2 linked regions of the Drosophila melanogaster genome follow. The protein of the gene in region 2 interacts with the protein of the main gene of each other region in a pairwise test. Each region holds a gene or a part of one and is shown on either strand. Other genes may lie near its edges.

Region 1 (15,901 bases), on a different chromosome or scaffold from region 2:
CCAATCCCGTAGAGCTGGCTCTCATGCAAAAGCTGCTGCAGCCGCAATTGCCACAGTTCCTCAACTGGGAGGCGGCCAAGGAGGCATCATCCACATCATCGGCAGCTGCCACCTCAAATCATCATCATCATCAGGAGCACAAGCGACCCAGAAGGGATACAGAAACGGAGTCCATTAGCAATTTCACCAAATCCAAGCCTTCATCCGGTGCTCCAACTACAACAGCTGCTCCACCACCAGCCGCCGCTGCGCCTGTGCCGGTGGCCACCGCTGCGCCTCCGGCACCAGCTCCTGCGGAGCACAAACCCAGACTGACCATTAAATCCCTCTCGAATCTGCTGGAACCGGAGGCTAACGTGGTTCCACTTCTCAATGTGCCCTTTGACGGAATGCGAGGGCGTCCCTCCATGCACAAGGCCGTTCCAGATCAGGCCAAGGGTGACGCAGGTACGGGACGCACACTACGCTCCAGTAAAGCCTGCGTCACCTATAATCCCCTCGAGCAGGCCAAGCAGCAAATGCACCCAGCCGCCGCCGCACAGCAGCAGCGCAAGCGGGGCAATATGCTCGCCCAGGACGTGCAGCAGCAACAGCACCAGCAAAATCTTGCAGATGCGGCGGCAGCAGCCGGCATGGATGCCAACTCGGCACTGTGGCATCCTCTCTTCGGAAGGTGAGTGATGTTCCTAACCTAATCATCTTTCCCATCTGTTCAAATTAATCCACATCCGTTCCCTTTCAGCAATCCCAAACAAGGCTACAATAGTCCATGGCAGTGGACCACGGTGACGGCATCAGGTGAATGACAGTCAAGCCGGGCTCAAAAGGAGCCAGCACCTGGATCGGGAACAAGGACGGCCAGCTATGAGGAGCAGCATCAGCAGCAGGACTACAGCAACTATCACGCCTCGGCCAAGCAACAGCAGCAACAGCAACCACAACTTCCAGCAGCCAACAATCAAAACCACAGCAACAATAGTAGCAATAAATTTTGTTATCCAACGGCAGCGGCCATGGAGAATATGTTCCAGAACAATCAGATGGCGGCCGCTGCCGCCGCACGCGAATCCCTGCTGAATTCATATCTTTATCAAAAGGATAGCGATGCCGGCAATTATATGGCGGAGCAGAGCTACTGGCAACAGCACCAGCAACATCACCACCAACAGCAGCAGCAGCAGCAGCATCAACAACAACAGCAGCAGCAACATCAACAGCAGCAACATCAGCAGCAGCAGCAACACCAACAACAGCAACACCAACAGCAGCAACAGCAACAGAAGCAGCTCCAGCAGCAGCAGCAGCAGCATCAATGGAGCGCCAACAACGGCAGCAGCAACCAAAGGAGCAACAATTATGCCAACAACTATGCGGCGGCAGCCGCTGCCTCCATGTACATGCAACACTTCAATCCCTACATGCAACAGAAGGCGGCGCTGCTGGCGGAGAAGGCTGCCCAAGCGGCGGCGGCGGCTGCAGCGGTCCAGAGCAGTAACGGTAGCAATAAGCACGGACGCTTCGGCGGTGACTACGGCTAGGAGTCGTCCGGTGGGTTCACGGTTCAGCTAACCGAAGCGCAAGACACTTTAGCGCATAAACATAAACATATAGGCATATGTAACACTTGCGTGTAATAATAACTATATATTTAGAGGCATCGTATAGGCCGTTTTACCGCCAGGAATTGGTAAAGGATAAACCATGATTTTCCTTTAGTTTAATACACAGGAACAGCAACAACAAGGTAACCGGAACGCAAACAACAATAATTTATAAACAACAAACAAGGTGGTAAACACAAGCAGAGAGCAGTAAACATAAAAAAAAACTTAAATTGAATTAGTAAAAATTTGTTATTGGTAGTTTGTTAACAAAAAAGAAAAACACAAAAAATATGAAAAGAAAACAAAGAGGAAAAAACAAAAAAAAAACACGACAAGTAAACAAAAAATAATGTAGAGCGCGAAAGCGGAAGGCAAAAGCAAAAAAAAACCTAATTATTGTATTATTGTTAACCAAAATCTATTATTATTATTATTATCTCAAGCTGCGTTATATTATTATTATTATTATTAACTCGTGTGTCTGTATATAGCGTTTTTATCTAGATGTATTACACTTAGTGATCCCCCCACAACCCGATTCCCATCCCTGGAAACCCACATCCGACTATCCTCCAAAAATGCCAGGACAATCCTTGGACCCTTCACCTTCACCTATGACCTCGCCAAAAATCAAACGAAAACAAAGCGCAGCGCTAAAAGGCAAACAACCGATTTTGTATCCATTCCGAAATGTGTTTCTTTTTGTTTTTACTAGTTATTACGCTGATTATTTATGAAATCATCATCCCTAACATGTGCAATCTAACACTTATGTTCTAGATACAAAAAAAAAAAACAAAAAAACCAAACAAACACAAGAATCACAAAACTTATTAACGCGAAAATGGCAAAGCAAAAGCATGAACATGAAAATGGAAAAATAAAGAGAACCCTTTTAGAGAATTTCGCTGATAAAGGCAACAGAATAGCAAATCGCCACCGAGACTTTTAATTCAGCGGGTTTGGTTGGATCATCCAAATATGATGATTATGATGCAGATGATGCACTTGCACAAGTGGTTCTGTATAAATATAGTTATATTTGCATCTCAAGTTCAGTGTATAATAGGCATATAAAAGTTAATTTCTGTATAAATACGCAACTTTTCACTTACAAACAACATTATGTAATATTTTTTCTGTTTAACATTTAGTTAGAACCACGCTTAAAGTAAGAGTTCCTTTCGAAGGCATTTGAAATGCGCGCGTGCGAATGTTTTCAGCTATGTATCTCTGTGTGGAAGTGTGTGCCCGGTGCGGTTTCTTTGTGCTCCCAGCCGTCGATCTCTTCAGCGATGAGTCGTCGTCGCCATGGGCCAAGGGCCAATCTACTCAATCTGACGGCTGGCCTCCTGCAGGCGCGCCACCACGCCCTGGTAAAACTTAATCTGTTCGGCAATGAAATTCTTAAGCGTATGCTTCAAATGCGTATCCCGCTCGCTCTTGAAGTGGGTCAGCTCGGCCAGCACCGTGTAGGAGACGACATCTGTGCGCCGGTTAACGTCGTGCAACTGGGGATTATTCATCCTGCCCTCGCCGGCCAATTTCTCGCAGTCCTTTCGCTTCTGTATGGCACCCTTGTGCGTGGAGAAGATGTCCGGAAAGCAGTTGAGAACGCCCCTATTTGGAAAAGTGAAAGTAAGAATTAGATAATGCTTCTAGATCGTTCTATAAACAAATAGCGACGGAAAGTTACCACATTCTCTAGAAGTTATATATATATTATACATATGTATATCTATGTATATATTTCTTGTTAAACTAAAGGTCAGTCAGCGTAAGAACCACAATAATCTAAAATAAACTATTGGCCAACAATCGATTTTTCTCGCGAAACTATACATTGATTCATTGCTTAAAAGTAAACAATTTGAGTTCTTTATAAATAAACTTGATACCTTAAAAACAATTTACAAGAAAGTAATCTATCGAAAATTTTTAATTGTGAGTAATTCAGCCATATATGTATGTGCCTATTGTAACTTCTAGTATAGAAATGACACATGTCGTGGAATTCCCATTTTCAGTCAGCTAATCAATTACTGATGAATGAAACGAAATGTGCTATGCTTCCCATCACTTATAGAGACGTCAACCCACCTGTAGATGTGAAGTCGATCCGAGAGGGGAATCCAATCATGCTTTGGCTGGTCGCCAAAGGCCTGTCCAATACCGATAAAGATGCCACCGATGCGGCCGACGCTCTCGGAGAGCGGAACCGCGTTTCGGGTGGGCGCACGCCGCTCATCGATGGCCAATGCCTTGGCCAGGTCGGAGAGTCCGTCGCCAATGCGCTGGAACTCCTTTTTACTCTGCGACATGGAGCGCTTGGCCATGTCGTTGGATATATTGTTCAGGTTGCGTACTGCCACGTCCATGCTGTGTATGAACTGGGTGCCCAGCTCCACCTGTGCGTCCACCTTAGAGTGCAGCAGGTTCTTGTCCGGCGGCGAGATGGCCAGGCAGTAGTTGACGCCCATGTAGGGATCCCGTTCCGCCTTGCGTTTGCCCGACTTCCAGATCTTCTCGTCGCGGCAAGTGAGGAAATGGTACCAGACCTCGCATTTGGAGATCACCGGATGGCGGCACACCCAGTCGACGAACTCCTGCAGCTGCACACGTCGATGCTCCACGAATTGCTCCTCATAGCGGCCGGAGATCTGCTTGTCCGGCAGCGGTGGCACCGGAATCAGGCAAAACTTGTCCACCAAACGTTCGTGCAGCCAGTCGAAGTGCTTGTAGCGACGTGACACCTAACGAAAGGGAAACCCAGATTAGATATGACCAATTAATTGTGATTGGGTCACGCAAAGAGGAGCCCGGAGCTCGGGGGGTCAGAGCTCGTTGCTGAGTCATTCCCCGTGGCGGTTCGCAAGCACAAGCAATCATCGCAGTGCCGCTGGCTACCAGTTGGTCAGAATTGCCCCCACAAAGAAGAATTTTAAGTGCTTTTACGACTCTGTAATGCTCTACCTATTTGTATGTGTATTTTAATGGACTGAAAGAACTTTACAAAGAGCTTTGATTTCAGTTCGAAAGTAATGTCGAGCATTTATGCTTCTCATTATTGTAATGAATAAAGTTGATCGAAATTATCAAAATACTATTTAAGTAGCTAATAAGAAATGAACTATAGCTTTGAATAGTATTAAAACTTTAACAAATAAAAAGATAAATTTAGCCAATTTTCAGAGTCTTAATAAAACAAACCAATTAAAGAAATGGATATGATCTCCATTTAAATTTTCTCAGCAAAAAAGGGTCACTTTTAAGGTCAACTCAGTTGGAAAATGTTGGCCGGCAATTAGTGCGGAGTTTCGATAAACAAAGGATTGGTCTTTCTTTATTCCATTCCATCTGCTCGTGAGCACATGAACCAGCCCAAATTACCCTTGGCAGAGGGTAGCGAACACAGCACAGACACATATTATCAACAAAATATTGCACCCGTAGTTACACACTCATGCGCCAACGGTCGGAGCTTTATCGTATTGTGTTGTTAATCACGGCGATATCAGGGTTGGCCAACTTACGGATATGTTGTTGAAGCTAGGCGTCAGTTGGTAGGCAATGAACGTCTTCATCCCCTTGAATTTGGACTCCTTTTTGGGACTGGCCACCACAACGGAGTAGGGCGAATGGTTCTGCGTCCACTGGTAGATCGAGTCCTCCACCTGTGTAATGTAGGCCATCTCGCATTCGGGTATCTTCTCCTTGGTGCTGGACAAGCCGAGTATATATGAATCGGAACTTTTGGCGAACATGCCCTTTTTGACGGTGCCAGCAGCACCAGTCCCACCAGCCACGGAGGCCAGTGATTGGGTATCATCGTTGGGCGCGATGGGCAGGTGTTTGTTATCGTAGTCACTGGTGGAATGCGACAATCCGCCAGCGCGAGCCGACTGTCCCGCAGACTTCTGGCCACCTGGACCAATTTCCGAGTACGTGTCATTGTCGTCGCTCCAATCGTCCTCATCATCCCAGTTGCTGCCATCATCATCCGCCGTCTGATCGTAACGCGGCAAAGGGGGCGAGGCGAAGGGATCCGGAACCTGTGGCACCGACGTCGCTCCACTGGCGCTCAGCTTCTGGGCTTCGGCCGCCGACATCACCTCCACGTACGCAGCCGGGAAGAGGCCAATCTGGCCACGGGCATTCTTGCCCTCCCACCAGCCTTCACCCACATCGCTCCGGGTCACCGAGAGCACGTCGCCAGTCGCGATGGAGAGCTCCGAGGAGCCCGGCTCCCCGGTAAAGTCGTACATGGCACGCACGTACGAGGTCATCTTGGTGCTCTCCTGGTCGTTCCTTTACGCTAATTCGAGTCCTGTCTTCACAGGGGCCATAAACAGACAAGAAATATCTACTAATTCTGAATCACCAAGTGTGAAGTGTTACCGTTTCTTGGATTACGGAATTAAACTGACACTGACGTCTTCTTCGCTCTGCAGCAACAAGATATAATGATGATACAGCAATTTTATTAGGGGTATTCCCCCAACACACCTGAATTCTACACTTGGAACAGAGGCACTCTCTAATTTGATAAATAATTATAAAAACTTCATATTTATACTGTACTACTACTATATACTCACTAAAATAAAATAATATAAATGGTACATTTAAGTCGATCAAATTAAATTAATGAGTTATTGCGTTATCAAGAAAGATTTAGCTGTGAAAAATTACTTATGTTTATATAGATTTAACCTACAAATATTTCAAATAAATTGCTAGGTGGGTATACAATTTTATAGTAATAAATCAAGTAAAATATAAGGACAAATTTATGATCATAATTTTATATTGCACCAAATGCGAGGCGTTTCAACTACATTACGGTCTCCCCCTACTGATAAGCGCCGAGTGCCAGGGCTGCAGAGCACGGCTCAGCTGTCGATGTATCGGGATGCATCGAAGTATCGAGTTGGCATAAAAGAATCTGGTCTTCGTGTCGTGTTATTCATTCCTTAATTGCGCCTTGCTTTAATTTGTGGGTGAGCGAAATCGGAGCTCGGCGACATCGCCAGTTGTGCAATACTGACTCCAGCGGTATCTGTTAATCCCCAACCACTTCGCAAACGTATTTTCTTTGCCTTGCAGATTTGCTGACTTTGTCGTTCGAGTACTCAGCGTTTAACGACCACAATGAATCGGCAGGCGAAATTCCTAATCTTGTGCCTCTTTGTGGGCCTCTTCTCCGCGAATTTGTGCGAAGAAGGTGAGTCTTTGATCAAATTACACCGAATTAAAATCGAATTGAAGACACGCCGAACACTCATTTCTCAATTATGCACTCGGACACACACACACACACGCTTGCATGTGCATGCGTACGTGTGCGCAAACCCCTCGCGTGTGTGCGCCGTGCGGGCATGTGGGTGTGTGTGTGCATGAATGTGCGTGTGTGTGGATGTGGGGGTTTTTTAAATGCCAATTCCTATATTGAATATCAATTCTCCGGCCATTTTCTCTTACTCCGACTTTGGGGGAATGTTCTCCGCATAAGAACTGCAAATCTACAGCTTTCCAAAAGAAACTTGGAATTTACGAAAGTCCGTAAATTGTCACATTACCATACGTTAATATTTGTGGACATTTGGTAAATATGTATTTACCGAGCTGTAACCATATTTTGTTCGCAAGCATTTATTTAAATCGTCACGTCCTAATTACCATACGAAAATATTTGTACATATTTTAGGATTTAAAGAGATTTTGACCATATTTTGTTGACAAACAATTTAATGTTTACTTTTTCAGCTTTCTTAAATTTCCATTCCTTAAATTCCATTATTGCATACAAATAAATATCACCTAAATGCTGCCTATTTTGAATATAGTAATCTTTATTTTCCGAACCAAATCAATTTGTTTTGTTACGTTTTTCTATTTTGTTTGACAATTTTGACATCATTTACATGTGCAATGGAACTATTTTTATTTTCAATTCTTACAAAACATGTGTATTCGTTGTGCTTTTTGAAATATTGGAAATCGATCAATAAGAGTCGTTGTGAACTTATCATGCTTACCAATTTATTTGCTTTTAACTTTGGAGTGACGCATAAGTTTTTATCTATAATATTCGTTGCTGATTACTGCACACAAGCCCTGTTTTTTTGAAGCTATGATAGGCGCTGTTCTTACTTAAAATTATTTTTTTACGATGTATTCATTCTGAAATAAGAAATATGAACGTATCAAAAAGGGTTGATTAAAAAAAACCACACATTGGGTTCATTACTATAATATTTACTACACTTGAGTCTATCTGATGTGAAATAGTTTTACGAACTTATCATAAGCTAATATTTATAAACTCTTTTTATTTGCCTTAGCAGTGACCACACCGGCTCCAGCGGACACCACCACCCAGGAATCCAAGAACACCACCACTCCGCCGGACACCACCACTACTGTGACGCCACCGTCGACCTCAACCACGAGCACCACAACTGAAAAGACCACGACGACGCCACCAATTACCACATCGACTGAGAAGACCACAACTTCCACTACTCCAGCCAGCACCACCAGCAGCACCACTCCGGCCAGCACCACCAGCAGCACCACTCCGGCAACGACCACCACCACGCCTGGAACTACATCTACGACCACTCCGTCTCCGAACTCGACCACAACTACGCCGCCGCCACACACATCAACCACTCCGGCGCCGAAGCCCGTGCCGTGCGGTCATTTCGATGGATCCTCGTTCATTGGCGGCATTGTGCTGACTCTGGGCCTGCTCGCTATCGGCTTAGTGGCCTACAAGTTCTACAAGGCCCGCAACGAGCGCAACTACCACACCCTTTGAGCCGCCACCGCCTTTACGTCGGCCTTCAATGCGGCAGCCGGAGCTGCGGCGGCCAGCAGCAGTGCCGCATCCACGGATGCGGAGCGCGTGCGGTTTGTCCAGCCTTCGATACCGCTAAGGTCGCCGCCAACGCAGCCGCCACCACCACCACCCACCCACATGGGTGGCAGTGGTGGTGGTGCGGCTGCAGCTCCACAAAACTGCTCGCCGTCGGCCCGAGATCGGTTGCTGCACACGTAATTTAAAAGCGGGGAGCCACACCATATTACCCAATATAATTAATATCCAAAGAGATGCCCCTATACCCCGATTCCCCAACAAAACACACACACACACACAGAGATACAAACGGCAGTCAAGTAAAGTCAGTTCTTAAATTGAAACGATAACCCCCTGAGCGGATTTAATACGGGCCCAGATAGTAGGAGCAGGCTCTACATTCTTGAATTACTTCCCTTATCTCAGTCATACAGAAAATGTAAAAACAAAGTAAATATTTTTCCTTTAATGCATTGCATTCAATATGTAAGGGTACGGTTTTTTGCAAACATCAGTTTATCAGCAACTTGAGCGGATGTTCAACGCCTTATATAAGAGGAGTCCGGGGAGCCTGTCACAGGGTCTTCCCAGGGCGACCATGAACCGAGAAATGAGTTATGAGATCGAAACGAAACGAGACGAGAGGAGTAAGAACAAATAACAGCAAATATGTGAGACTGCTTGATAGCGAGAAAGTGAAGAGATCAGAAAGTGGAAAGCGGCTGGCGACGGCTTTGTTTCTGTAATTCATAGGGAGCTACGAAAAGGAAATATAAATTTTTATTATATTTACACAATTTTTGAATAACTAAAATCGATTCATTCTAGGAACTAAGAATACATATGTACTACCTAAAACCGAGCTAAACACAATGGGAAACGCGTTTCAATTTTCTCATTTAATGTGCATTTTTTCTCCGGTCTTTGCCCACTTGTTCTATCGATTCTGCTCACCCCGCCATTCCCGGGGTCCGTAGTATTGCAAAAAATCAATATAGCTACTAACGATGCACAGCAACAGGATTTACGGATTGCCGTGCACGGTTGATATGCGTTTATATGCGATATAAACAAATGTACACATGTTTGTATACTGCTGAAGTAGATTTTGATTCGAGATTCGATGAAAGCCCCATGTTAATGCATACACGCAAATGTTGAATATTTTGTACTAGAATGGAAACTATACATATGAATTACGTTTACCTAACCATACCGCGCTTGCTGTTGGATTAATACACATTTGAAGCTACAAATCGATCACATAAGCCCGTCAAGTTTACGCAAATGAACGAAAACTCTGTTGCACATGAAAATCTAATAAGTATATAAGCTAAAGTAACCAATCAATGTATATCCAGTAAATCACTCAGCCGGCTTACTAATAATATATATATTTATATATATATATCTATGTCTGTATATCGTGTACGATAATAAATATTTTAAAAATTTAACTGCATTCTTACTGTACTAGCAACCACTGTAAACCAGAATTTACGATTGAAACACGTTTCGCATATTGGTTTTTTACACCTAATTAATGGTCAATCAAAAGGGGGGAATTTTATTTAAATTATCAAACATTAACTACACTCTATTCTGCGGTTAGTTTCTTTAACTTCTTGGGTGTCTTAATATTAGGTGTTTTCTCCTTGGGCGACTTTCTCTTAAGGTTTTCCTTCGGCTGGTGCTTAGTATTTACTTCTGGTTTCTTAATTTTAGGTGCTTCTCCTTTTTCCGACTTGGACTTCTTATCGTTTTGTTTCGTACTCAGTGGATTCTTCTCTGGGGATTTCCCTTTCTCGGCCTTTCGCTTGAGCTTATTTTTAGAGCTCCGCTTGTTCTGAGTGTTGAAGCGCAATATAAGTGGCGTGCCAGCCAGGCTGAGCTTCTCCTTGATGGCCTTGCGTGCATCGTGGGTCGTTGGCAGGGTTACGGTCGCCGTGCTGTAGTCCCGGAATTTACCCTTGCCCGGTCGTATTTGAATGTCCACTGCCTGGTCGTGGAACAGCTGGCGCACCTGGGGCAACGAACTGGTCTTTGGCAGATTGGTAATGACCACGGACGAGGTGAAGTTACCCTTGGTGAGGACCTTCTTAGTAGCACGCTTCATCAGGGCCTTGGTACGTTTGTTTACGATGGATGTCTGCTTGCGGGTCACCAGCTCGTTGACAAAATCATCGGAATCCGTCTTAGGCAGTGATACGAATAAGCCCTTGTGCTTGTCATCCTTTTCGATCGAAGCCTTGATATCCTTAAAGGCTTGATCGCGATCTTCCTTCGACTTGAAATCGACGAGGCAGAAACGTGCATGCTTCTGGCGAGGCTTTGTGGACTTCAGAACCAGTGGATGCAGAGCCTTCACCTTGGCATTGAATTCATCCAAGTCCAGGGGCAGTTTTTGGGGAAACCGGACATACAGCCGGGTGCCCTTTAACTGCTCGTACTTGGTGTGGATCTTCTCGTCGATAATCTCGGCACGGCTTTTGGGCTGCGGTTTGATTGTATCTTCCTCCTCACCATCATCTTCATCGGATTCGGTGTCACTGGCGTCCAGATCCAGTTCGGATCCATCGGAATCTTCGTCTTCGGAGTCGTCCGCCTGCAGCTGGTCCTCGTCGGAGTCCTCTGCCTGTAGCTCCTCCTCGTCGGAAGCCTCGGAGTTTTCGGACTGCACTTCCTCCTCCTCGGATGCACTTTCCACCTGCTTTTTCTTCATGTTTTACCGGAAAATTAAAATGTTTTCTTTTCGAATTCAACTTGCACGTGTAAACGGCGGTGTGACCAGATCTTAACAAAAAACTAAAGGCCGACTAATCAAAGCTAGAATTAGTGATGACAATCTGCTTACCAAAATCTAACCGAAAGTGTATATATTAGAAAATATTTAATGAATGTATAAATTTTTTATAGAATTAAGATGCATAGCCTATATATGGTTTAAATATATACCGATACTTTGTATTGGCGCTGTGGACTTCGGCTAATTCCGATACAACAAATCTAGCTATAAAAAAACAAACAGCTCTGACGGACAGTTTCTTTTATTTAGAATTTTCAAACCACAACACGAAAATGGAAAATGAATTCTTTTGGAATGACTTTAAATTGAAACAACCTCCGTTGGTGACGCTGCTGGTGAAGGACACGGGTTTCGGTATGTTGTTACCCTTGGCCATCTGAAACAATCACAAAATCAAGGGATCTCTCCTTCCAAACAGCAAAAAATGTGTTCGTGGTCATCAACAGGTTCCTGCAACAGTTGTCCGAACCGGATGCCAAGGATTTCGAGGAGACGGCGGCGATGATTGGACGACTAATGGCTCGCCGGAAGAACTCCTTCCGCAATATGCCGGGATTTCGTTCCGTCTGCAAACTTAATGCGGCACTGTGCCGCCTGCTGCGCTTGGATTTGGCCAGGGATCTGAAAAACTTTCGCGGTGTGCTGCCGGATGTGTGCGATGAAGATTTGGGCGGAGCCATGCCCACGCGAAGCAGCTTTGAGTTTATTTTGGTGCGTCTCCTGGGTTTTTATCATCTGCACGAGCGGATCAGGGAATGCTGCCTCAGTGCAGCCGCATACTTCACTCAACTCCTGCGCAACAACTTCTTCATGGACTTCACCACGCTGCTAATCGCTGCCATTGCCAAGATTAGCAAACTGAGCTCCTTGCAGGCCGGCAAAAGTGCCATACTTTACAACAAACTGCGCCCCCAGATTGCTAACTTTCCGCAGGTGGAGAAGCACAAGTTTCTGGCGGAGAATCAAGAGCTTCCTGCCAGATTAGAACCTCCAACGAGAACTAATAACCAAACGCAGAAAGACGAAACACCAGACATTGTCCTGATACCGAAAAAAGTCGTCACCAAAGTAGAAAAAGCCAAACTGTTGGCCAAATCTGATGTGGGCACCATAATTGCCAGGAAGGAAACACCCGTTCAAGATACAAAGAAACCCACATTCAATGAAAACGTTCTGGCCACGGTGGCGGATGCACAGAAGTTCATTGAACGCGAGTCGCAGGCCAGGAAACTGAATCCTCCTCCAGAAAGTTGTTTTACCAGAAAGATAGCCAAGCACGAGTGGCTGGCCGCACAGACGATGTTCAATCGCAAGTTGTCCAAGGAGCCGGAAAAGGCGTTGAACATATTTCGCAAGTTTATTGTTAGCAAAATAAAGTAACTTCACAAGCGACGGTTAATTACGTTTAGGCACGACATTAAACACAGGTTACCATACCATCAGCCAGCCGAAGACTCTTAAGCGCAACAATTCGCTTTTGGGGATGAGGATTTTTGGTCTAACAGAGGTACACAAATAAATAAGTCGTTTTAATATTTGTTATTAATTCGAGACTCACCTTTACAAACTTCTTAAAGTTCTTGCGGCCGCCATGCTTGTTCACAGAATCCTCAAGAGAAGCATCCACTTCCTCCTGGGAGCGAATGACAATGTTTAAGTTGCACATGCGCACCTCAATGCTGTCTTTCATGGCGGCCAGCCATTGCTCCTCATCGGGATCCGCCTTAATAGAGGTTTCCATCTTAACTGAGTCTGCATCTATTTCGGATTTGATATTATCGTTTAGCCTGCTACACGATAACCAACCACTGATGTCCACTTTCTTGGGTCTATCTCTACGCGGTGCCACTATGTACTTGGATTGCTTCTTGCTTTCCGTTTCGGGTACAAATGGTTCGGTTAACCGGGAATCCTCGTCATCATGATCAGACGGTCTTTCAGAGTTGAAGTTAAACAAGCCATCCGTGGAGTCATCATTTCTCTGAGCCTCTTGCGTCTTTCGTTTCTTTTTGCTGTCTGCAAAGTTAAAAAGATTATCACAATCATCGCTGTCGCTTTCGTTTAGCAGCTCAAGGCGTAAACGCTTGCGCGGTTGTGTCTGGGATTGGGACTCCAATTGGGGTGGCACTGGAGCTGGTTCTTGTGCCTGTGATTTCTCTAGAAAGTCGACTACACTGATTCTGGCAGGTGCATTGCCTTTGCCTGCGATTCTTGGCTGAACCACAGTCTCTGCTGGCTTCTGTGGAGATTTACGGAATTGAAATAGGTCCCCTTCATCTTCTTCGTCACTCGAGGCCACCGATAAAACAGGACGTTTTGCAGGCACTGCATGTTTGTCAGCCGGTTGGTTGGTAATATTTGTGGCCAATGATTTCCCATTGAGTCGTGGTGAAATCCTGGTGGCAACGGGTGCTTCCGTTTTCTTCTTGGCCATCGAAGGGATAGTTGGAGCTGGCGTTTCTTTTGGTTTCCGAGCATTTTCGTTCTCCTCATCCGATGAGTCAACACAAAAAACCTGTTTGGTCTTCCGTGTTATGTGCTTACTCGCAGCTGGAACAGGTGGATGTACGGATTTCTCCTCAGCGATGGCTTTGCTCTGCCTTGTTACTCGTTGAACTGGAGCAGGCGCCGGAGCTGGTGTCACATCTTCTTCCAAAGACGAGTCCAACAATATGGCATTCTTTGATTTCATGGTCAGTTTCGTAGCGATATCCGATTTAGCTCGCTTAGACAATGTTGATTTCTTCTCCTCGTCCGAGGAGTCAACTGTTGAGGCATGACTCCGCTTACGCAAAGAAGCTTGGTCCTCCGAATGGGGCTTAGAAGCATCTTGTTCCATTTCACATTCAATTGACTCAGGCACCACCAGTTCGGAAATGGGCGTGGCATTGGATTGCGCCGAGTGGCGTTCCGTGTTGGGCACAATGATCGAAGAGTTAAAGGCCATCGAGGAAGTTACAGACTCCGTGGTGGGCAATGAATCGGAGATGAACTTGTGCGTTGGGTTGCAGAATTCTGTTATAGAGCAATGTATTAGGGCCATGCCAATCTCGTACTCCTGGATAATACGTCGACCATTCTGTTCCAAAATATCTAAAAATTATAATACATAATAATACTTAAACGCTGTGATGTGAGCAATATATTTACACCTATCTTGTATACTATTGATTGATTCAGTGGCCTGCGACTGGGACGATGGCACATACTGTATGACTATCACATCACTCTTTGTTAGGAATGTTTTGCGCACACCCGAATTGATGTCCTTGCACGTGGCTCCAGCCTTCTGCACAACTGATCCGTACATATCAAAGTGTTTGCGGTTCATGAAGACGAATGTCTTGCCGGCGAAGAGACGGGTACGCTCAGGACGCCAGGTGACATCTATGTTGGTGGGCTGGTAATCCTCCGGCTGAGGCCAGCCCTCCTTGACATGGATGCTCTGCGCTGCCTGCAGCATCTTTCGCCAGTAGGGGAATGTCACAATCGGCTTATTCTCGAGCATAGCGTGCAGTAGTTTCACGGTCACCGAAACTTCGTTCATGGTTAGATGGGAGCACTCTTCGGTCCAGTTCGAAGTGACCGTGCCGCCCATGGGTTCAAGCATCTTCGTGAGCTCCTGGACCTCGGAACGCGTTAATGCGGAGACAGTTGTAACCAACTTCAGTTGGGTCACCTGCCAAATGCTCATGTTTGCGCCAAATCGCAAGCGTGTGCCCACAGGCAATGGAGTCGATGTTTTGGCAGGCACCTTGCGCGGCTTTTGGGAATTCTTGGGGAAAATGAAAGTGCCATATCTGGAGCCAAGGTCCTCGATATGCAGGGTGTCATCGCCATCCGCTTCCGTTTGGATGAGCAGCTGGGCATGATTGCGACTTATACTGAGGTCCTGCGCAACAATTAAATCCGTGGCCAGGCGACCAATGGTGTACACCTTTTTGCCAGGAAACAACACAAACTTTTCGTCATCTATAAAGAGTATTTAAAAAATGAATAAACTAATAATCTCTGTGTTTTAGACCATTTTTACGTGCCTTTAGTCAAAACAAACATAATTTCAAAACATTAACAAATTCAACAAATAGCGAGCAGTGTGACCTTAGCAGATTTGCAAATTATCTACACAGAGACAAAGAAGGAGTGAGAATAATAGGCTACATCACTTTCTACATAATTTTCTAAGTTAATAGTTGTTTCTTAAATTGATTTTTTTCTTATTTTAGAAATCAGGATAATTTTATTATCGATCGACAAACGCTTATAAAGAATTGACAATATAGACTTTGGATTCAAACGTTTTTTTTACTGTTAAGTGACCAGCTATCGCTGCAATGATACCGGAGTTTCCTACGAACGACAAATTAGCAAGAAGAAGCATTTGCAGCCGGTTTGTTTTTGTGTCGTTTGGCTAATGAAAACCTCAATAAACACGATTTATCTGCGATAAATGTGAGTGAGGAAACCTGTAACCATGTCTCACCTGACCGGCACCCGCGTGAGCACCTTCAACGAGAGCTTCCTTAACGAAAATGAGCACGACTCGAATGCGGTGCTCATGGAACTGGACAAGGGACTGCGGAGCACCAAGCAGGGAATCCAGTGCGAGGCGGTCGTCCGCTTTCCGCG
Region 2 (15,739 bases):
TCTACGCAATTATCTTCTCCACACCGCAGGACCATGGCCGTCACCTGGTCGACTGAATGCGGAGCAATATGAGTTCGTTAGTTTAGGTCTCCTTCCTTGTATTTCCGATGTGATAGTCTTTGGTTGGCGTCATTGGCCATGGAAATTATTTGATCTGTACGATTATATTTCCCCTTCTCCTAGTTCCAAAATGGGAACTAATTGTGCATAGTTTTTACATCACTTACCATGTGTGTGTGTATGGATTGTTTGTGTTCCTTATCTGTTTTGGATCGCCAAGCAAATGACTAGAAATGAACATCGCATTTCTGGTCAGCAATGGCTAATGCAACTGCAATTGTTGCATTATGTTTGTACAGGTTTATTGCCAAGTTCAATTTGTTCTGAAACGCTGTAGCCAATTATGCATTTCTTTTTTTTTGCATGCTTGATTTTAGCTGCCTAATGATAATGATTATCCAAACGTCCCTCTCAACGAACACCACTTAAATGTTTTTCTTCCAAAAGTAATATTTTTGAGCTTAGGTTTTGTAGAGCAACAAGCAAATATTTTAAGATTTACACAAGACTAAATTGGTATATTTCAATTTAATAAAACATATTTAATATATTTCCTAATGCCGTCGCGTGTCTCAATCCTAATTGTAAAGCTCTGGGCTATGATGGGTACGTCGTTTAAGAACCTTCCAAACCAAACTCCCACCAAGAATGGCTACTTTTTCGCCTTGATGTAATGTACAATAAATAAAATTAACTTTATTGCGATTCATATACAAAAGAGACCAAACAACAAAACAAGTTAATAATACAGAAAGAAGAGCAAGATACAGACGGTTGGTTGGTTAGAAAGCAAAAAGGTTAACAAGCTAACTGGGCTAGGACATTTTTTACAGTGCAGCGAAGGTGCGGAGATGAAGGGACGAAAGTAGTTGGTTAGTCGGAGCCTACAGTGCGCACTCGAAGCAGCGAACCAGTGTAAACCTAGGAGGGGGGGGTTGTCTGCAAAACAACATAACTCCAAATTTGCAGCCAGCAAGTACATACATATGTACATATGTATCTCCTTTAATTTGAACGTTCACATTATCGAGATTGCACTGTTGCAGTTTGTTTGTTCGTGTGCATGTACAGATCGCTCGGCGATCCCTACTTGCCGTAGTTGGCACAGCTGCCGCTGGCGTACTCCGGGTCCTCGCAGGTCAGCGTGTGCTCGTCGAAGACCTTGTCCTCGCCGCAGCTGATCAGGCGCGGATGGCCCTCCACGCAAGTGATCAGGCGGTGGCAGTCGCCGGCGACGGGGAACCGGGGGAAGGGCCAGAAGCGAGCGGCCACCGAGTTGGGGTCCACCTTGGTGGGGCACTTGAAGCCAACGACCGCTGGAATAGTTCGAGTTATTACAAATTTGTACGTGAATACACACTGTGCAACTGTTAGGAACGAAAAGGGGAATGGAATGGAGCACCGAATGGAAATCGCTTGCAAGTCTAACTTGATGTGTCCATAAGTGTCCAGTAGTCAGCTTTTGCTTTAGATCTCACCCTCGGGATTGCAGTGCTCCAGCAGCTGATCCGGCCAGTTGCAGCCATGGATCCTTTCGTCGTAGGCCAACCCGGCGTCGCAGTCCTGCTCGTGCGGCTCACCGTGGGCGCACTTGATGTAGGTGGTGGAGCAGTCCTTGGAGACAGCGTACAGACCGAACTGGTACTCGCAGGCCGGCGTGGAAATGGGAGTGGCTAGCGGGCGAGAAAGAATAACCGCTTTAGTTAGGGAATCCAGCACGATGGACCGACCAGCTGCTACTCACGATCCCACTGGCGGCCCTTGCAGTCCACCGCCCAGTTGTAGTTGCAGTGGTTGTGCACCGCGCCCTTGCCATCGAAGAGCAGTCCGTTCTCGCAGGTCTCCAGGGTCAGGGTGCCGTTGGTGCAGAGGAAGAACTGGTCGCAGTTCTCCGTGTGGGCGTACGCCTGCACGCCGTACTTCTCGGGGCACTCCGGGGATCCCACGGCCAGGGCATGTCCTGTAAATCGGACAGATGGCAATTGTGATAGTTGTGATAGTAGAACTATTTTTTTATGTTTGTAATCTATATATTGTACATATATCAGCCGTACAAGGAAGGTAATACGTACAATACAACAAACTCACTAAATGCATCACCTATTTCCCTATCCTTGAATTCATCAAAAAATTGTACTTATTTGCGCTGCACTTACAAGAGCTAGACCATTACATTCGCTTGTTTTTTTTTTCAGTGTAGAAGTGCTATAGGCACTTGCAAACGTAGCGATTGAACCGATGATTGTTTGAATCACTGTTGACCACTGTTCCCACCATTGTCAAACCCGAACCACAGTGGCGTCCACTTCCTTCCTGTCCGCCAATCGGCCTCCCCCTCCTCCTCCTCCACCGCCTCCGCCTCCGCCTTTTCACCTGCCCAACTGGTTTTGATGCAAGTGCAAGTGACGCCACAATCGCGACCACGACACTTTCGCGCATCTTCGCACCGCGTCTAGCAGCGATTCGAATCGCTTTGGAAATGGAAATGGAAATGGAGATGTGGCGATGGAGCTTTGGAGCTGGTGTGATGTAAGCCCGAAACGCCGATGCCATCGAGATCGGGCAACAGGTTGATGGTTGACTGTTGACTGCTGTCGTTGGTTAATGGGTAATGGTTAATGGCTAATGGCTAGTGACTAGTGGCTGACTAGCGAACTAACTGCTGTCTGCCTGCCTGTCTGCGCACAATTTTCTCGAAGTCGCCAACCGAAAACCAAAGGCAAACACGCAGCTAAATTGAAATCTGTGAAGATTTCCGGTATTTAAGTCAATAAGTTATGGATTAAATGTCATCGCTGCCTGATTCTTTTGTTCCTTATCTCAGAGGTTCAACTTGCTCCGATCATATTGCTCTATGATTTCAGCTTGCTATCTTATAGAAATCTTTGGAAACTTTAAGTACTCCATTGACCACAATGACCACCATGTTCATGTTCAACTAATAGAGATTTATAGGAGCATTGATGGTACTGCTTAAGGATCATGGTGGTGAATGAAGTGTTGAAGTTGTTGGTAGTTGGGAAACAGTCCTCTTGTGACACAAACGACATTGATGGCTTTTCGAAAAACGGGTGGCGATTAATTAGATATATCTATGGCGATAATCCGATGCGATCCGATGTGATCTATGCAACTACCTTTCTTATGGGCCGGTTGGAAACTGGTTGCCTTGGTTAACCCAGAACTAGATCGTATAATGCGAACGATATCGTACCTAATTGTCAACTGGTTTGACGGGCCCAAGTTCTACTTTTGTCAGGGTTTGGCATTTGTTTTATTTAGTTCATTAGCTTGCCGGATCGACTGGCCGATTTAAGATGTCTTACGTCTGATGTCTATATGCTATTATATGATATGATACATGTGTACATACATATGTACATATGCATGCCCAGTACCAAGATCGCTGCAGTGAGTCAGTGGTGGAAACAAAAGCAAAAGTGATCGGCCGCATGATCTGCATGCCAAATCAGCCATGGTTATATGGCTATAGGGTACGGAGCAGTATAGATGTGGCTATAGATCGGCGGGCTCTACGATTAAGTGGAGCAGCAGCCTTCGGCTCGAGAAACCAGTAATTAAAATACATTTAGACTGGAGCTCGATTCGATTCGATTCGATTCGTTTTGATTCTAGAGGCGAGAACAAAAGAGCAGACCGTTAGATTCGAAGGGGCACTGCGATATATAGACGTTCGTACATAAATTATATACATATATCGCATTTGGACACTCCACGCGATTGCAGTGGAATTTTTGAAAGTAAAAGCTCCGTTTTCGAGGCGCAAACACGCGAGTAATTGAAAGGTTGTGCTAATTGCGAGCGGGAGTGGCAATCGTTTCATCGAATCGCTATCCCAAGGCCCTCTAGAGCATTATGTTTTGGTACTGGTAATACTTGCAATAGCAGCCATAGTTGTTGCACACTTACCACAGGCAATCCAGGCCAGGATCAGGACGCTGCACACTTGGAATCGCTGCATGTTTGGTGCCTGACATATAAAAACACATATGCGATATAAACAAATTATTTATGAATTAGGCGGAAATGCATGGGTGGTATTAAGTAGTGAAAAAGCACAAGCAAGGCACACACACGCACCGTAAAAAAAATATATATATATTCAAATGCGCGCAAAAAGTGGAATGGAGAAACTTGAAACTTCCGCTCCAAGATTGTACGTTTTAACGGTTACGCGTTCCAAACTCAACTGAAAAGATTTGTACCGCGCTCCAAGAAGAAGAAGAAGAAGCGGCCGAGCTGCGACTGCGCAGCGTTGACTCGCCAGCAAAGCCAAAGAGCCAAAAAAAAAACAAAAAAACAAAAAAAAGGCAAAATACAGTAGAAACGTGGTCGAAAAACCGAACATAACTGAAACCAAACCGAATCAAAAACAAAAAACCACACAAACGACACCACAGTTTTGCAAAACTTCGCTTTTTTCGTTTTTTTTTTCGATACCGCTTTGCCTTTGATTTTTTTTTTGGGGGCGGCAAAGGTGGGCGGTGGGTGGTGCTGTGTGTTGTCACAGCTGGCATTGTTGTTGCATTGTTGCATTGTTGCATTGTTGCTGGCTGGTGTTTAATGCAAAACGGGATTTGGGATTGCCAGTGCTGCCAATCCATCCAGATTCCAGCCACATCTTACGCTCTTAATTGCACATAACAGCCGCAATTTGGGAATATATGTTTGATACCAAACCATATACCAAATGTTATATCGCTCGAATCCATTTTCTCGCCACATCTTCCCAACTTGAGAGCCTATAACAGACGGAATTTATGGGATTTATTTTCGATCTGAGGACTTACAGTTCGGTGGTATTCGGAATACAAAGTTTCATATCAATCGCATCCCATTGCAGAAATCTCTAGTGCTTCTACATCTCTTATAATGTTGTATGCAATGAAGAATAAACTTCTATAGTACAGCGAAATGAAGAATAAACTTCTATAGTACAGCGAAATGTACTTTAGCTTCTACTGATTCCCAGTTGCAAGATTGTCGAGCTATGGCGAATTCAGCTGAAATTTAGGTTATCCACAAACAGTGGAAACACTGCATAAAATCAGATAAAACTTAGAACGCTATCTAAAAGGATGCATCCAGCATCCACGCTGTGCACAAGGTCGCTTTCGCTCCACACTGCCAATGATTTAGCTAGTTTCCTAGCTAGTTCGGGTCCATTTCCTGGCTTGAAAAAGAAAAACACGCCAAGGCGGAAATCGAGCTTCTCTGGCAACATGTGTGATTGAAAGTAAAAGGCAAAGCTCGCGCAGACCATAAGCTTCATTCATGATTGGGCCCCGTTTGCCGATTGCCGTTACATTGTTAACTATTGCAAAACTTTTGCTTTTGCTTTGCTTTGCTCGTGCTGCGGCGATTGCATAAGCACTCTTGCCTGCTTTTTGTGTTCATTTACATGTGTAAATGTGCGGTCCGCTTGGCCACTCGGCCAATTAAAGACTCTTTGCAACCGATGGAGGGACAAAGGGCTATGATGGATAATGGATGCACCGATCCCGCCCGTCCACGGCGATTATCCGATATTGCGTGTGGAGTGAAAGGTTTGATTGATTGGTCAATCGACCACTCAACCCCCCCCCCCCCCCCTCCCTTTTTTTGCTATTTCCCCACGAGATGCACACTAGTTTTGTATAGATTCGAAATACATAGTTTTTTTTAATTCGAGAAAGATCGGAGAATGGGAAGTGAGTTTGGGTGTCATGGGTTTACAGTCGGTTGAATGATTACTTAAATAAGGTACGTGAAAATTTCTTATCGTTTGGATTTTGCAGGCAAGTCAAGATGTTTATTAATAAATAACATATAGCATAGTCTAAAAGAGTATTTATACAGTAGGTATAATCGAAATACAAGGAAATATTTATGAGGAAGATAGAATGTATAGAAAAGATTTAGATTTGAAACTTGAGGTAGAAGTGAAATACAAGATTACAGGATTGAAATGCTTAAAAAAGGAGCATTTTAGGAATAATAAACTGTAGCGTAACAGTTCGCAAAACAATAAAACACGAACTAAATTGAAATTTTAAAGATAGAAAGAAAGAAATCAAGAAAAGAGAACGGAAAAGATTCAAGTTTGAAAATTTTAGGAGGACAAAAGTTTGTAAAGAGTGGGTTTCCTTATAGACAGAAAATTGGTTTTGGAATATGATAAGAAGTTAAGTAGAGTAACGTAGAGATGAGGGAAATTGAAATTTTAGGCGAAGATCACATAGGATAGCTGAAACAGTATATGGAATAGTAGTAGTCTTGGGATTGGGAAGATAGTTTATAGTAGATAGATAGATATAGATAGTTTATAAAAAATTCAGTTTATTCTTTTTGTATAATAATAAGGCGAAAGTCTGAAAGCGGGAAATATATACACAACAATTTGGCAGCGTTTGGTTGGGCACAGAAATGGAGATTTGGGTAGTTAGAAAAGTAGTTAGAAGTAGTCAGATATAGAGAAAGATAGTTAAGAAATAGATAGGTCAGAGTATTGAAGTTTAACTGCTACACATACGCTCTATAGGAAATGGGCTAGAACTACTAAATTTAAGTGACTAAGACGCGAATCTGTGTGTTGATTTGTTTCGAATTGTTTCGATTTGATTTGATTGATAATTTCTTTCAGTGTGCTTGTGTGTGCGTGTGCATGTGCATGAGTTGTGAGTGTGGATGTGATGAGGAGAAGTAGAAGCGACCGGAAGTGGCTTAGTCCTTCTTGTCGTCCACATCCTTGTACCAGTCCTCGCAGCCGGGCACATTCTCGGGAGCATCGCACATCTCGGTGGCATCGTTGTAGACCTCGCCCAGCTGGCAGCCCAGATCCCTGGGATCCTCGCCGTTCAGGCACACGTAGAACTTCTGGCAGTCGGTGGGATGCGGATACTTGGGGTGGGTCACCACCTGGCCGCGATCGTCGGTCTTTGGCTGATCCTTGGGGCACACGAAGCCGGTCTCGGAGGTTCCTGAAAGTACACACCACATGCCAGACCATTAGCCCACTCCGCCGCACGGCGACTCAATCGGTCCACTTACTCTGCTCCGGATTGCAGCCCTCGCGCTTAGCGGTATCCGGCCACACGCAGGTGCCCGAGTACTCGTCGAAGTGGAGGCCGACGGTGCACTTGGTCTCCAGGGCGTCGCCTTCGATGCAGTTGTAGAAGATGTTGCACACGGCGGGATCGGGATGCGCGAAGAAGCCGTTCTTGCGCGGGCAGTACTTGCTGGACTTCGGCTCCTCTGTGAAGGGGAAACCGAACAGGGTTAGTTCCTCCGTCTACCAAAGGAGCTACACAACTACATAACTTTTGGATAGCTCATTGTAGTGGTGTATTTGCTTTAAATATAGAGATGTCCAAAAGTATGCTACAAATTCATCCTTTCAACTGATGCTTTCATTAGTAAGCTAAATTTGAACTTAAGAGGCGAATTTAAATTTAACTCCCTACATAGTTAATGGTGATGTAATGATGTAATTGGAATAACCTGTTTAGCGCTCTGCCTTGACATAGTTTTCGTGACCATTCCCAAGGGGTCGGTAACAATAGCCTAGAAATAGAAATGGTGATGGGATGGGCTACTTACGGAGCTCAGTGCGGTCCTCGCAGTCCACATTGAAGGGCTGGTCGCACTTGTTGAACTTGCGGTTGAGTGGATCGAAGACCAGGCCATCGGGACAGAGCTTCGCCTTGGCCACTCCGTCGTCGCAGACGTAGAACTTGTCGCACTGCACCTCATCGGCGAACTGGCCATTGGGCTTCGGGCACTCGAAGTTGGCGGCGGACACGGCTGGTGTTGGGGTAAAACAAAGGAAAGAAACAAGCACTTCAGTCAACTGGTTTTCCCACTTTCACTTTCCTGGCGACCCCCAGTCGCACTCGAAAGTGTAACAGATCGAACGACGTTCGATTACCGATGGCAATTCCGCATTTGCGGTTTCCTGGTTGCCACCACTCCCGGTGGCCCAAGAAATGATCAGTGGTTTTCCATTGGAACAGGTTGCTATCGCTTGATACATTTGACCAGAATCCCACTGACTTCGGTAAGCTAGATATAGGTTAGTACTATTTACTCAACCAATGTGAAATCTCTTACTTGGGCGCCTAAAGGATAGCTATAAAAAATGTATACAATGCGAAAATCACTGCATACTTCTATACACCTTTGCATTCGCTATGCTGACAATATCTTCTACAACCGAAATTGGGAATTCAAACTACGCGAATTCTTTGGATTTCCGTAACACACCGGTAAGTGATTCGAAATGTCGAAATTTAAATGTCAGAGAAGGCTTCATACTCAGCATAATGCCAAGATTACGACGTTCGGTCCGGGTTCAATGCACTTCTCTTGCGGCCCAGAAGAGCCGTTTTCCACTTGGCCAACAAACTGCATGAGTTGCATAACCCCAGCGGCCCAGACAGCCAGACAGCATCTTGGGCTTGGCCAGCATTCCAGTTTTTCCAGACGGAAAACGGCCCTCCATCTCGATCTGCATGTGGCCTGTAGATCCGCAATCGCGACCAGATTCAACATTTGCGTCTGAGGCCCAGTCTTGCGAGACGGCTAAATATGATTAGCTACTTATGGCTCTTAGCTCTTAGCTACTTAGCTACTTAGCTGGCCAAAACACACAGCGGCAGCAGATCGAGATCGAGTCTTGATTTCGGTGTCAGTGTCAAAGTAATTAGCAACAATTTGCGACTCTGACTTGGCGGATGGGCTGGCACTGGCCAGTCAGTCGTCAGTCACTTGAACTGGGCACCACTGATCCATTGAACGATCCATTGATCCATTCCCACGGATCCATTGATTCACACTCACTTGTCGCCACACACAGGGTCACAGCAATGGCACATAAAAATAACTTCATTTTGGACTCGGGGTCTGAGAAAAAAAAAGCAGAGCAACGATCCTGGCAACTGGATACTTGAGCAACTAATCGCGACTCAAGCGCTGCGATGGTTAAACTAAACTAACAACGGAACGCCAAAGAGGCGCACTTTTCAAGACTTTTTACCGGCTCTGCTCGACGTCGCCGACGACGCGACGACGCCGTCGGCTGCGGCAGAGTGATGCCAATGGGCGGGGCCACTACCGCCCCCGCCACTGCCACTGCCACTACCATCACCACCACCACCACCACCACTACTACTACTACTACCACACGAAACCGAGCCAGGCCAAACGAGCTGCGGCTGGAGCTGGACTGGATATGGGAATGGAATGGAGCCGGGGCTCCAAAGGCGACGAAGAAAGGCGAGCCAGAGATGTAATGGCACAAAAACAAGAAAGTCCAGGGGCGAGGACCGGAAAACCGCTGGCCAGATGCCCTAGCTTAATGTGCACCACGCGAATTCTTCAGGCCGCGCATTGATCAACTGTGTTGAAGGCGTCACCTGTATCAGATGACTTGGAGATTACATCGAAATCTTGGAAGAATTAGGAAATGCTTCTATGTATTTGTAAGCGAACTCTTAAGAATACTCAAAGGCTATTAAAAAAAAAGAAAAACAATGTTATTTATCGTATAATTACAGTTTTAATGCCGCAAATTCTTTAGTGATCTTGATCTGCAGAGCCATCTAGCGGTCATTTATGCAGGTAGAGAAGATGTTAAATTGATTTCCATTAGCGTTTCAATTCAATTGTTTCGCTTAAAAATAAAATTATATGCTAAAAATGGGTGGTTCTTAGGCATATAGAGTAATAAATAGTTGACCCTGTGCAAAAATACAAAATTCCAGCTTGTAAGCCATCTGGTCAGCTGCACATTTCCGGGTATTGACCGTCAAATAACCAAATGCGATCGAGCGACCGATGGATGCGGTTCGAGTAGGGTATGCGTTCCCTGCGATCAGTGTGTCGATGTGACCAAAAAAGCAACACACACACACACACGAAAATGAACGTAAATAAATTCATATGCGTCAACGATCCCCGAATTCAGTTGGCTCGAATTGAGTTGGCCGGGTTGATGGTCCGCATGCAAATGGCTTACATCGATCGACCAAAAGGCCAGCCAAACAGGTACCATCCATTTGGCGACGAGTTGGAGTTGGAAGACCGTCCTTTCGTCCAAAGTGCCAGCCAAAAATTGAGACTTCAAGGCTGAAGAGGACACGCCATGGGCGTAGTTTCGGTCTGGATCTGTATCTTTAAATTATACTATATATACATTGCATATATGCAGACGGACGGATGAAAGACTTGGTAATGAGTAACACACCCAATTAGTTGGAAGGTAATGTCTTAAACGCCACTCCCGCAAATCAAAAATTTAGCATTATTACTTTTGGTAAAATAAGGTAAGATAATATACATTATATATGTATAATTGAAATAAGAGCACATTTTTATAAACTATCATTTAGAAATATTAAAATATGATGAAATTAACAAGAGCAAGTACTAATGTAATAAATGTATCTTACAAATTGAATGTTGTATATCTATTAGAAACATGGTGATCCATAGGAATCCAATGAAATGCCTGATACAATATAGAATTTCTAGTTTTGCCTGCTTGGGAACTGGTCTACAGGTGATTGGTGGGGGAGGGGAGGGGGGGGGGTTGGTTTGGTGTAGCCATTTCCGAGGAGCTACGCCCATGGGATGGAAAACTGTGTCATCCCGATGCTTCCAGCGGCCAAGCGGCGGAGCATGCCGGTAATATATGTACATAATATATGCATAAATATGCTAAGCGGCCACGCAATGACCCAAAAGCCGCTGTCCTTGGGAGATGCGATCGATCCGCTCCGATCGGAGTAGGAAAGAAATAAAAAATAATGAAAATATAATCAGCTATCGGAGATCGGAGATGCGGCCAAACCAGACGGGCTGGGAAACTAGTTTAGGTTGGCGGCGTGTAGTGGCTAATTAACAATACACTTTTACTCTCGCCCGATCCCATGTGGAAACCAGGTGGAGGTGGTTCTTGGAAGCCCGGCCAGACGTCTAAATCTGAAATTCAATTGGCAAATTAATTTGTAAACTAATCGCGCTGGCATCTCGACTTCGGTGCGACAGGTTTGGCCTGGCAATTAGCGCGGGGAAAAAGCGAAGATATTAAGTATCCGCTCATCGGTTTGCCAACTCCCGCCCATGTGCAAGATTTGTCGGCCTGGAGCAAAAAGTTGAGCAGTCGAAGATTTGGCAATTCAAGGTTTTTACTGCAGCATGGGGGATCATCGGAGCGATTCCAGTTCGAGTCCGGTTTATCAATGCGGTTACGAAACGAGCAACTCGGACTACAGTTTTTGGGTCGTCGAATGCTGGCATTTAAATTCAGATGTGCAGATGTGCAGATGCGCCAAATCGAATCGAAATAAAATCCCCAAAAGTTTCATGGGCGCTTTAACCCCATGAAAACCTCTTCCTTGGCACTTTGGATACGGTATCTTTCAGATACTTTCAGATACTTTCGGATACATTCAGATACGACCGAAGGCACGTACTACTGTTGGATTCGCTTTGCGCCCCGCGTTGCAGCAACATCTGGCATTGGTGGCACAAATTATGGCATACATTGTGGAAAGACACATCGCCTAAGTGCGCTTTCTATTTCCACGGCGGGTTCTGGTGATTTCACTGGCCCAAAGACGCGCATTGAATGTAATTGGCACTTTGGAGGGGCAATTAAAACACGACATATCTACATACATATGTACATACGTATGTATGTACATACTTTCAGAACCCTGAACGTATTTTGTAAGCTCAGTAGTTTTGAGTCACTATGGGAATTTCAGCGGTATTGGTAATTTTTTACAAGAATAGTCTTGCTTACCTTTCTTAATTAATTAATTTTTACATTTTGTAGTACTTCACACTCAGCATTTTAATCAAACAAATGCACAGGTTGTGGGCATTAATTTTAGCTGAATTTTAGACCTAAAAGGATTATTTAATTTTGTATGCATATGGGACATCAGTGTATTATCATTAAGGTACTGTGTATCAATTCGAATTTACCTACAGATACCTCTCTTGAATCTATAAATTAAAAGTTACGCTTCAGAAAGCAACACTGATATTTCATAGTGCATGTGTGTGAGTGTGCAAAACTTTTTTATGATAACTGTAAGCCACCTATAACATAACAATTTTAAAATGCGGCATATCTCTGTATTAACATACTTTTTACCTATTATTAATTATGGTAATATAATTATATATTAATCTAATATATTTATAATTAATATTAATAATTAATAATTAATAATTAATAATATATAATATAATATATATATATATATATATATATATATATTCAGTTTGAAGCTCTATTTAAGCATGATTTGTAGATTTCTTCCATAAATAAATATAAATATTAATAAATATAAAGTGTGTTGCAGTGTATGTGAAATGTAACTGTAACTAACAGCGTTCTGCTAAACGCAGTAGTGCTGCCAGATCGCTGCGCTAGTGCATGGAAAGACTGGAACTATCGCTGTCACGACAGCTGTTCACAGCTATCGCCGTACAGTAGTAAAATCTTATTCTTGTGTTTAAACTTGTGTTAATTAAGAATTCGGAATCCCGCTAAGAATCCTAGTCTTCCACACCCTTTGGGCATCTATGTAAACCAGCCGCGCCCATTATCTCCTTCGTGTGCCAATAACTGTGCGAAGTAACTGGCCGTGGGCGATGTTCCATCTCTAGTTAGTCAAAACATTAAAAGTCAGTCGCATTTTTACATTGTTGAAAAATGATGATTTAAGTACTTAAAAAGCAGCCGAACAACGAGTAAAGACAGTCAAGAGGTGGGTTTTTGTGCATTTCATGGAAAAATCACAAGAGCAGTGAGAGAAGGAAGTTGAAAAACGCAGCCAGGGCGAAAAGACGTCACAGTCCAATCGCTGGATTATTGATTTTTTTTTTTTGGCCGAGCAAAGGAAAGTAAAGTGACGGCCACTCACTGGGTTACCGGGAAATGTGCTCCACTTGGCGATAGGAGAACATATGAGTTGGCTGCGCCACGCCAAGCGAGCGGTGGAGAACCACACAGCGCACCCACTTTCTTTGCTTCTGGCCAGCAGTTGGTGACATCATCAAAGCTACCAATATTGGCGACCATTAATCATGCATCCCCCTTGCAGAGAACTTGGCCCGCCAGAGATCTAGAGTCCCGTACCGAACGCCCACTCGAACAGCAAATCGCAGCAGCTAATCGCCCCGAGAAATGGATCGCAAGGCTGAGCTGGAACGCAAGAAGGCCAAGTTGGCCGCCCTGCGCGAGGAGAAGGATCGCCGGCGTCGCGAGAAGGAGATCAAGGACATGGAGGAGGCGGCCGGTCGCATTGGCGGCGGAGCAGGCATCGACAAGGATCAGCGCAAGTGGGTTTGCCATAAGCTTCTCCTCAGAGCTGACTCAGCACCGCCATCATCCAACTTTCGTTCGCCTCTTTCAGGGATCTCGACGAAATGCTGTCATCGCTGGGCGTGGCCCCCGTCTCCGAGGTCCTTTCCTCACTCTCCTCCGTCAACTCGATGACTTCGGACAACTCGAACACACAGACCCCCGACGCCAGCCTCCAAGCCACTGTCAATGGCCAGAGGTAAGCCAGTTCATAGCAAAAGCTTTGTGAGTAGAATTACCATCTTAAGCAGAAGTTCGCAGGGCATATTAGACATATTCAGGTCATATAGGTATAGACATTTGATTCCCTAAGTTTTTTTTGCTAAACAACTGTAGAGACAGATTCCCCATCTACAAGCTTAACATAAAAAAATATCAGTAGTCAAAATTGGAATCCTGGTTAGAGAGCGTGGCAATTTTTACAATTCAATTTTAGCATTAGCCGTTTTAAAAATTAGTATTACACAGATTAGACAATGGGCTTAGTACTGATTAAGTTTTAACGATCAATGTATTGTACTATTGCTATTGCCATTTAACCGATTCCTAACTAATACCAATTTCTTATGTGCACCCCCCACCAGCGGCGGAAAGAAACAGCCCCTCAACCTAAGCGTCTACAATGTGCAGGCTACGAACATTCCACCAAAAGAGACACTGGTCTACACAAAGCAGACCCAGACGACCAGTACCGGAGGCGGAAACGGCGATGGTGCGTATTGCCCCCGGGGCGGGGATCTGGTTGGGCTCTACCGTAACCACTATCCATAGTTTGACTCCATCTCTCGCTACTGTTACCGTTCTTATTCTTGGTCTCGTTGTTAAATGTGTTTGGCTTCCCTGCTGTTTCCCAGACTCCGTCACCGTCCGCCGGAGGAGCAGTGTATCTATCTGTCCCTCTCACTCTCTCTGTCCATGTCTGTGCTCCAAACTCTCCCTTTCTGTCTGGTGCTAGCTTACACCGCTGCATGCTGACCCTGTTTCCGCGCTTTGTTCCCCATCAAGTGCCCCCAACTCCCGTCCCTCCCAGCAGAGAAAAAAAACAAAGATGCAAACAGAAACCATAATCCATAGTGAAATAAAATAACAAATACAGTTCTTTCTTGCCACTCCTCGCCTCTGTCAGGATATATGGAGGACTGGTGGCGTCCACGTAAAGGTACTAATCTTAATTTTAAGCAAACTCCACACCTAATCACACATCAGCACACGAAAGTTATTGTGACAAAACGAAGCGGCATACACATGTGAATACACGAAGAGCTCCATGTGAAGCGCCCACACGACTTAGTCTAAATTTGCTGTAAGGCTCTGCAGGCAGAAGGATGTCAGCATCGTACATGCGTAGACAATTCGGTGGACTATCTACTTAACTGCTTGAATTTAGACAGCTTCCTTTTGCTTTGCCTCGGCCCAATTTGGTTGCAATGCCCAAGAAACGTAGTTTCTGGTCGATTGATCATCTTATGACAGATTTCTCTTGATTTGGTCAATCCGCATTATTGGTTTTTGGTTCCTTCAGTGCTCTCAATTTAGCCCATCTATCCCAGCAATTGTTTTTGTTAGTTTATTTTATAAATGTTCGAAACTGGAAAAGCTCAGACACGATTTCAAAAACCATTCGTCACTATTTTGTATACTATGCAATATTCAGCACACTATCTGAACACTTCAATCCGAACTTTTAAAAATATAGGTTGTAAATGGTACTGCAACGCAATGTGTCATGTTTATCCCCTCTTTAAACACGCCTTTTTATAATTATTACTTTAATTTTTGTCGCGTTTTTGTAAAGGTTATTGGTAGCACTAAGCATTACACCAATTGGCCTTGTTTCGCTTCATTAACGCCGCAGTCTCGACTCATTTCCGCATGGCCACCGCTGTCCAGCATCAATCTTTCCATCCACATCCATCCATGTCCACATCCGAACCCATAGATCATTAGAGTGTAAACCGTTCGAGCGCATTTAATAATTTGTCTATTTACTTTCTCTTTCTTCCCTCTTAACTGTTTTTGGCACGCACGAAAAAAAAACTGCAGCTCATGCTACGGATTATTATGGTGAGTAGTCCTCGTTGTATGCGTAATTCCGTACTTAGAACTTTTCAGCCTCCGTAGCGGTCTGTGTGCCACTCGTAAGAAGCGTATCTATACCCGTAGTCCTATATATTACCATTACCTTGAAACCTCTCTATGCTGAACTTCTCTATATACTCACATTATGTATTTGTGTAGTTTGCTCAATATCTATCCACAACACGATCTATGCTCCTTAGAGTTTTTCTGACTTGCTTAGTG

Evidence for each region.
Region 1: the proteins of obst-A (region 2) and vsg interact in a two-hybrid assay, tested with the Drosophila melanogaster proteins (one large-scale study listed by BioGRID).

The regions. Positions count from the first base shown.
Region 1 is NT_037436.4:9,707,796-9,723,696, forward strand, and holds vsg (visgun), read left to right. Parts: upstream 1-6,528; 5' UTR 6,529-6,755; coding exon 6,756-6,828; intron 6,829-7,948; coding exon 7,949-8,427; coding exon of another isoform or gene 8,428-8,667; 3' UTR 8,668-9,921; downstream 9,922-15,901. Other genes in the region: CG16711 (uncharacterized protein), read left to right, coding at 1-673, 743-806; SH3PX1 (SH3 and PX domain containing 1), read right to left, coding at 2,933-3,224, 3,705-4,357, 5,138-5,890; CG18178 (uncharacterized protein), read right to left, coding at 10,064-11,188; CG14174 (uncharacterized protein), read left to right, coding at 11,545-11,626, 11,691-12,652; nbs, read right to left, coding at 12,690-12,770, 12,831-14,365, 14,423-15,244, 15,310-15,328; defl (deflated), read left to right, coding at 15,747-15,901.
Region 2 is NC_004354.4:20,233,186-20,248,924, reverse strand, and holds obst-A (obstructor-A), read right to left. Parts: upstream 9,071-15,739; 5' UTR 8,948-9,070; coding exon 8,899-8,947; intron 7,864-8,898; coding exon 7,660-7,863; intron 7,315-7,659; coding exon 7,111-7,314; intron 7,041-7,110; coding exon 6,784-7,040; 3' UTR 5,716-6,783; downstream 1-5,715. Other genes in the region: CG17068 (uncharacterized protein), read left to right, coding at 1-56; Peritrophin-A (peritrophin A), read right to left, coding at 1,147-1,376, 1,539-1,733, 1,805-2,020, 3,991-4,042; sw (short wing), read left to right, coding at 13,262-13,416, 13,491-13,637, 14,023-14,150, 14,535-14,597, 15,482-15,502.